Bombyx mori: one gene and its partner. The protein of the gene in region 1 interacts with the protein of each later gene in a pairwise test. Links are inferred from orthologs where the notes say so. Each region holds a gene or a part of one and is shown in the gene's direction. Other genes may lie near its edges. The genes, in order: B-cell lymphoma/leukemia 11A and nuclear receptor subfamily 2 group E member 1.

Region 1 (4,385 bases):
CGGGTTTCCGCGAAGGAAAACACCCAACCCTTGAGTCGTCTCAATTTTCAGTATCCACATGTATACATATGAAAGAGATAGTATTATTTTATATCGCGCCGGACAGCTGTAGTGACCAGTTTAACTAAGTTTGGAATAAATAGCCTTTGGGGGTGTGTTTGGTCAAGCGGTACTTAAACAGTTCCGCGTTAGAAGACGAGATAAATAATGAATATTTCAAATATTTTTTCTCTCCTGACAAATTTATTTTTATTTATTACTTTCATAATATCGGAATAAATAGGAAAACAGATGACGCAGTGTCATAAAAACAGACCTTAATCAAGCGATACTCTAAAGCGTGGAATTGCATACGAAAATTTAAATTTTTGCCGCAAATAATCCAAAACAACTGAACGTCTGATAGCCCTGATAGATATTTACTTCTTCTACAACACAGTCAAACAAAACACAATCACAAACCTAAAACAATCTCGACATTCTTAAAACAAAACAAAAAAAAAAAAAAAACAATTCCAAAATCAAACGAACCGAGATTCGAAATTTTCAATAATCGAACGCCGTCAAAGTCTGGAAACAATTATGAAAAACTTCGTTTTCGTGGCTCGTTCTCGCGCCGGTTAAGTCTCGACTGACACTCATAAAACTTATTAAAGTCAAGGACCGACCGAGATAAGTTGTTCGTGGCGTCTTAAGTAAAATAACGTTGAAGAAAAAACGCCGGAAACTTTCAGTGGAAACGACAGTTTGGCTACGTGTTGCGCTTTTACTCAAATTAGACGGGTTTTTAACGTTTAATTTAGTGATTGGAGGAGGGTTATTTTTCTTTTCTGCAATTGTTAAGACGTTTCTTTTTTTTTTTTTTCGTAGGCAAACGGAATAATATCACGCGCGTATATAACAACATAATGAGATTTATAAATCGTAAATGATATTCGCTTTAGACGCTACTTATGAGAGCGTAAATAAAATATGCAATCAATGCATTTTTCCAAATGTTTTGTTGCTAGGGAAAAACATTGCTAGCTCGCGTAGCATGCGTAGCTCAGTACTACGGAGGTAGAGTCTGGTAATGTTTTAAAAAAAATAATGCTTATACAAAAAAATAAAATAATGTATTAAAAGAACCGGGTACCTAATTTCATAAAATGGACTTTATTTAATGAGATTTAGTGAAATTTATTGGTAGTAAGACTAAATGCATCGTTCTCCAATTTCCTGAATTTACTTTGGACATCCTAATAAAATTTTGGACATATTTTACTTATAAAATCATACTTTACGTATTTACCGTTTTATCGTTCAGGCTCTTAAAAGTTAAGCCTCACAATAAAAGTACCTCACAACTTCAAACGAGCACTCAAGTTTCGGAGCTTTAAATATAAGCACGCCCTGAAACTGTACACTGACCGCGCTTACCGTCCCTTCAATTAAAAATTCCATCTTCTAATCGAGTCATGAAATATGCAAGCAAATATTATCCCTTTTTCTTTTGTACGCGTTGCATCTTCGCCCCACCCGCGCACGCACACCAACGCACGGCACTTGTGATTTGTAGCCGTCTCTTTCGGGAGCATGTGTGAGCTGATCGGCGTCGGCGGCAGCCGTCTCCGTCGAACAGCCGAGACGGCGGCGACCGAGAGTAACCCCTGGCTACTTCGTATGGACTCGCACGCGGCATCGTCGGCCGGCGGAGCGAGACGGCGCTAGTCGTGGACACGCGGAGGCCGTGGAGCCCTCGCGTGAAGGGACACAGGACAGACGCTCTCGGACACCGGGCGAGAGCGGGCGGCTGGCCTCGCACCTGCCTCGCACCGCACGCGACACATATACGATCGCGATCGCTCTCGTAAACATTACGAAATATTCACGTATATTTGCATAAAAACCATTTTATTTTAATACATTAATAACGTTCGTAAATTTATTTTATTATTTCGAATATCGACTATAGAAATTTCGACGACGGACAGTGACTGAAAATTTGTTATTTCAAGTGAAGAAGTTTAAACAGATGTTAGTAAATGGAGTGTGACCAAGCGAGCCGTTTGCCGAATCGCAGGATCGCCACTAGGCGCGGATAGATTAGATAGTGCACTGAGACGCTCATTCAAGTGTTGATAAGGCCCTATTTATGACCAGTCGATTTACGCGAAACATTCAACTAACGTGTGAACTGATTTGCCGCAACATGAAAAGGAAAAAGTAACTTAAGTACTGTTTGTTTTTCCGTGCGATGAGTACTTTAAGAAAATGATTGAGCGCTCTAAAACACCGTCGGACACTCGTAGGAGGATTTGTGATAAGTCGACCTCCGTTATCAGAAACGTTTTATGAACACGATAAACCGCTGGACCGGCGGCGGCACATGTGAAGTTTAACGAACTGTCTTCTGATAGAGACATATTAAGATAAATTGTTTCTAAGGATAAAACAAGTTGTCGAAGATCTAAAAATAGGTGACCAAATCAAGATGAGAATCAAAATGCCAGCTGTACGCATCGCGCAAGGTAAGGCCCCGATAATGATTTATTTTTGTACGAAAATTGTCTTTAGCGATATCGAATAAAACACGTCAATCATTGTGTGATAGTGTTAATTTATGTTTTCGAACATTTTTAAATAATACGGACGCAAATATTAATGATGTGTTCAAACAAAAATATCGTTAAAATCTAAACCTAAAATCTAAAGCGTATGTTGTAGAAATATATTTTACTTGTTCAAGGAATCGCAATTCAAAAATAAATAACCAAAAACAAACATCTTGATGTGCATCTAACTTATTTAAACATGTTTCAATGTGAAACATGTACATAATTTCAAAAATGATTTATCTTTACTCTTTCATGATTCTTGTTTATCTAACGGTGACCTGATAAATTTCTCTGTTATGGAGGTTAGACGTGAATCAAAATTTGTAATCCACTTTTTATTTCTAGAGTAATTAATAAATTAGAAACTAAATAGAACATAATATATGTTATACATTTTACTATTTTTAATAAAAAAAACGTAAAGAAAAATCATTTTCTCGGTACAAATTTAAAAAGTATTCGAACGCCAGATTTAGAAGAAAAAAAAAAACTCGCAAACACACATACGACGTCATCCCATCTGAGAGTCTATTCATACAACGACGAGCTACTTATTACCCCGTCTTACGTCAACATTGACATTACGAGGTGGTCACCATTCGTCCGAAGGGAAAATGAATGGAGTGGCCGCTTTCATACATTCTCGGACAGTTGATGAGTATTTTTTAAGGGACAATGACGGAATAGACCGCTGACTTTTAAAAGTTGACGTTCAAAAATATTTCATTTTGTTACATAAATAGGCAGACGAAATCTACCGCTATTTAGATGCTTCAGAATTATACTATTTTATTGTTCTGTAAAAAAATTAAGCAAACTGAAATCAAGAAATGAATGGACACATTTTTCGAAATTTCAGACTCCGCAAAAAAGACAGTCCTGTGAAAAAGTGTTCGTATTTTTTTTTAATATTGCAAAAAAAGAACTTAATATAATATATTACTAACTAAAAAATAGATTTATCAGCTAATTATCAACTTAGTTTGCTGTAACCGTTGATATTGTATTTATGGATTTAGTACCTCGGTACTGCTAATTTCTGAAATAATTGTGGAAACGTTAAAGGTGTTTTAAGTTGTTAAGGTTCAGCAAAGAGTGAGAATTCAATTGATAAGAACCAAGTCAGTCACGCTAAAACAATAAAAATGAAAAAAATCGTTCACCGACGAAGTTCATAAAATGAAATCCAATATACAAATATTAATAATGTAAGAACCGCAATGACCATTTGCTTTTTTACAAACGTATGGCTACCTTTTTCTTTATTTCTTTAGACAGCCACTTTTGTTACTAAAATAATAATACAGTTTTAATTTATTCGAATAACACATTTTTCGAGGTCACGGTTGATTAAGATATTATTTATTTTAAAGCTTAATTTTCAAAAACCCGTCAATAGTTTGTATAATTATTTTTGATTCTACTGAAATCGAAGAATGAAGACTCTATATTCGATATAACGAATAACTCCATCTTGCTACCTCCGATTTATCCTATTTATCAGCGTGGATTGAAAGTCATGGCTTGCCTTAACCATAACACCTACAGTAGATCTATATTGAAATAAGACCTCGAAATCTCAAATAATTATTTTTCTTTACAATAAAATTGTGATACGTAATAACATCTAACAGATCTTTGTTCTACTATTAGATTATTTTTTTATTGCTTAGATGGGTGGAAGAGCTCACAGCCCACCTGGTGTTAAGTGGTTACTGGAGCCCATAGACATCTACAACATAAATGCGCCACTCATCTTGAGGTATAAGTTCTAAGGTCTCAGTATAG
Region 2 (4,266 bases), on another chromosome or scaffold:
ATTTACTAATATAATTGAACAGTACTTTTGATTTTTTATGAACTAATCTAACACCTACATGGTACACTTCATATACACAACTTTTATTACTTCTAAATTAAGGGACAACATACCCGTTGATGCGTGGGAAAATATCAACACATCTATCTGTTACCAAATGGCTACTTACAAAGTGCTCTTTTTCCCATCGACGATCGTAATTAATAACCAGTCGTTTTGTTTTCCCCGGATAAACGTCACGCGACGGGATGAAACAACCCTGCAGGTGGACATTCGCACGGGTAAAACTGATAAGCGTCATTAGGGTTCATTTAAAATGGGATAGTTTTTTTTATATTCGATGTAAATATTAAAGTTTTGATATTGTTAGACTCAATTAGTCTAGGCCATCAGCGCAAAAGTGGCATAAACCACAATTTTTTTATATTCAAGCTTATATGACGTATATTCGAATTTATTTAAAATATATGTAATAAATTTTGATGCAAAACCGGCCTATCCTTAGTTTCACCCATAGATAATAGATAGCTTTGTCAACATAATTTTTGCGCGTATTGTTTTTTTGCTTACTCAATTTCAAATTCATGAAAATTCAAACCTAATTGCCTCCATACTAACTATGGTAAGCTTAGGCCACTTTTGCGCTGACGGCCTCAATTATCTTCTGACGATGAGATCTTTCTCATAGTTCATCCAATCTTACGAGCAATACCACCAGTATCGTCATTTTATTCGTCTACCCCAATTCTCACCTAAGATTGAGTGTGCGTTTTGGAATTCAGTGTGTGTGTGTGTGCGTGTGTGTCCGAGCCAACCGTTGTTACTGTACTTTTTTGTTGCTTAAATGGGTGAATGAGCTCACGACCCGCCTGGTGTTAAGTGGTTACTGGAACTCATGGACATCAAGAACGTAAATACCGCCATCCACCTGACACGTGAATCCTAAGTCTCAGTTTTACGGGTGCCCCACCCTTCAAACCGAGATCATCTCACCGACCCATTTACTCTGATAACAAATATCAAAATGTATCCGTTATCCTTATCAAATTATTTTTAAGCGTTGAAGCAAAACAATAATAATTCGTAGGTAGTCAAGAATTTTAATGGACTTGCAAACCTATAACTATTTATACATTTAAAAGAATTACTACATGTAAAACTACCCTAATTATTTAAAATACGAAAACTGTCATTATCTATGACCGTTTTATTGAGACATTCCCAAGCTCTTTGCTGTAGTGAACTGCATTGTCTCGTATTTTTGTATAGTAATAGTTTTTGTCGACCTTTTCATTCGACACCGCGTTTCCTGCCATGCTCGCAAGTGCTTACGTTAATACAAAACCGCTCTGACTGAATGCCTTTATGCCTTTTTGACTACGGCCGTGTTTGGAGGTGTATTAAAAGATGTATTATCTTATAAATGCTAAACATCTATCGTGGGACCGTTTCGAACAAATTATGAAGTGCAAAAAACATGCGTATTGTTAAACAGGAATCAGAGCATTTGCTGCGTTGTGTTTAGACAATTTTATTTCATTACTATAGGTAATGTTCGTTTTGGTGTATCGGTAATATTGGATTTTTGTACAAAACAAGTTTAAGTAAAGTGTTTGAACAAGTGAGCGTGTATTGTCAAGAAAGAAAATCTTTAGATTGCGCCAAATGGAATCAATGACAGGTCATCATTATACATACATATACAAGGTCCGGAATCCGATGAACCTTTTTGTTGAGACCCTTCATAATTAACGATAAAACCAACCTCAAATCATTGACGATAATTACTTTGCTCATTTGACAGTTTCAAGGGCACCGATAGCTATAAATTACAGGCACCTCCCCTAGTGGGGCGGAGCCCTAGCCCACCCTGCCCCGGACGTCGATCTCATTGTCCTCAAATCAAATAATTGTGACGTTGATTTATTAATCTTTAAAACTTTTTTTTTGTACCGTTTAGAATATAGATTTCTGATATAGGTATGTAACAATTTAAGATTAAATTATAATTTTCGGTGTGATGAGACAAGATTAGATGAGTACTTTAAATATAATTACACTTCCTGCAGGTTTAACTTTTTAACGTCATCTTAATTATCATTGTAAATTTTTGGCGTTGTTCTTCAGAACAAATACTAATAATAATTGTTTGTAGGGTCAGGTTAATTTTTACAAAATCGTTTTTTTTTTTGTTCAATTAGGTCGCATTCTGTACGATGTGCCATGTGCCGTGTGCCGCGATCACTCGTCGGGAAAGCATTACGGCGTATTTGCATGTGACGGGTGCGCTGGCTTTTTCAAAAGGTCCGTCAGGCGAGACCGTCGCTACACCTGCAAGGCACGCAACCCTGGCGGGTGTGTGGTTGATAAAGCACACCGAAATCAGTGTCGAGCGTGTAGACTTGCCAAATGCCTGGACGCTGGAATGAATAAAGACGGTAGGCGTCAAAAACAAACAGAATATAAATTAACTATAAAATTCCTCTAGCTTTGATAATTTATATGCAGATTTTTTTCAGCTGTTCAACATGAAAGAGGTCCTAGAAACTCTACGATTAGACGACAAATGGCATTATTTTTGAAGGATCCTGCGTTACCAACACCAGAAATGGGACTCACAGTTCCACCTCCATTAGATTTAGCGGTACCCAAGCACAACTTTATGTCCCCGCCGCAAAATTCCTTATTCCAACATCCGTACCCGTTCAATAGAATTCATATGATTAATCCTTCCGTAGTCAACATATCACTGAAAGCGCCTTCGCCTCCACCTATCACAGCTGCCTTGTTATCTCCAAAGGATCCAGAAGCGATGTGCGAAGCTGCAGCTAGATTACTGTTCATGAACGTTAAATGGGCAAAGAATGTTCCCGCGTTCGCATCATTATCATTACCAGACAGGCTACTGTTATTGGAAGAATCTTGGAAGGATTTGTTCATAATCGGTTCAGCTCAGTTTTTGTACCCATTGGACCTCAAGATTCTATCTGAAGGAAACGCCAGAATAGATAGCCGAGACGTGGAAATGTTCGAAACTTCATTAGCCGAAATTGTTAAAGTCCATCCAGATAGTAACGAGTATGCCTGTTTAAGAGCAATTGTACTGTTCAAAACGAGCTTTGTAGATGTTAATATATTATGCAGAGGTCAGTCACAGATAGGCTCTGAATATAAGAGGCTTCAAGATCTCCCCGCGGTTGCAGCGTTACAAGACCATTCGCAATTAGTACTAAATGAGGTGAGTTTTAAATTCTAAAAGGTTTTCCATACGATATATAATAACATAAACACTTTTATTTTATTAAACTCTTTATTGCACACCAAAACACAATTGCAGGTAGTTTAATAATCTAAAAGTACATATTATTATCCGCAACACGCTTCGTCAAAAAGTACAATACTTACTTTCAGCTACAAGCGTCGTCATAAGTAACTTATAGGTCCACGCAAATAGCAATGCGCGCATAGGCATCGGCTAGTCAAAGAAGCCACTCTGGATCGCACCCGGCCCGAAAGTACCCATAATTAAACTGTATAATTTAATGTTAATTTTTTTTATTGCTTTGTTTAGTGGCCGATGGTTGGTTCATGATTCACATAGAATTAACACGTTGACTGTCGTGTAGGTCACCGGTGCCCTACGCGGCCTACTGAAGTAATTATGTTGATTTCTCTCTTCGATTTTCTTCCTAAGGCGCCGTAATATCTAGTAGATTTTAAGAAGACGAATCCGAAGATACTGAGAATGAATCTATTTTCAAGAGACCAAAAATATTAAAATATATTAGAAAACAAAAGAACGCAAAGTTGACGCTTATCACTAATTTTATAAAATAAAAGCCGTACTCGCCCGCTTCGCTGGGCTTTTAAAATCAATATTATTATTTATTGTCATTATTATTAGGGAGTCCATTATAAATATTAGCCTATCCATTACGTACATGTATTTTCTACATGGATACCAAGTTTCAAGTCAATCGGATGCATGGTTCAGTAGTTATAACTGAACATCCGTAAAAAACCAATGTAGATTTAGATATTAGTATAGATAGCCGCTGAAAATGAAAGCTCATGTTTGTTGTCTCTGTTAGGGAGATCTCATGAAATATTTTGATTTTATAACCAAAACTTAAATATGATTTTACCTCCGTACAATTTTCTTTCAGTATACGACAAGGACCTATCCGCTGGACCCATCTAGACTGAGTCAAATCCTACAGCTACTGCCGGTCATTAAGAGAGTCTCTAATCTCATTATAGTCGAGC

Evidence for each region.
Region 2: the proteins of B-cell lymphoma/leukemia 11A (region 1) and nuclear receptor subfamily 2 group E member 1 interact in a two-hybrid assay, tested with the Homo sapiens proteins (2 studies listed by BioGRID). The link is inferred for Bombyx mori from reciprocal best matches to the Homo sapiens genes BCL11A and NR2E1.

The regions. Positions count from the first base shown.
Region 1 is NC_085124.1:5,042,682-5,047,066, reverse strand, and holds the start of B-cell lymphoma/leukemia 11A, read left to right. Parts: upstream 1-1,345; 5' UTR 1,346-2,473; coding exon 2,474-2,510; intron 2,511-4,385. UniProt on the Homo sapiens protein: Transcription factor. Associated with the BAF SWI/SNF chromatin remodeling complex. Binds to the 5'-TGACCA-3' sequence motif in regulatory regions of target genes, including a distal promoter of the HBG1 hemoglobin subunit gamma-1 gene.
Region 2 is NC_085107.1:4,786,909-4,791,174, reverse strand, and holds the start of nuclear receptor subfamily 2 group E member 1, read left to right. Parts: upstream 1-1,205; 5' UTR 1,206-1,665; coding exon 1,666-1,681; intron 1,682-2,201; coding exon 2,202-2,438; intron 2,439-2,519; coding exon 2,520-3,238; intron 3,239-4,166; coding exon 4,167-4,266. UniProt on the Homo sapiens protein: Orphan receptor that binds DNA as a monomer to hormone response elements (HRE) containing an extended core motif half-site sequence 5'-AAGGTCA-3' in which the 5' flanking nucleotides participate in determining receptor specificity.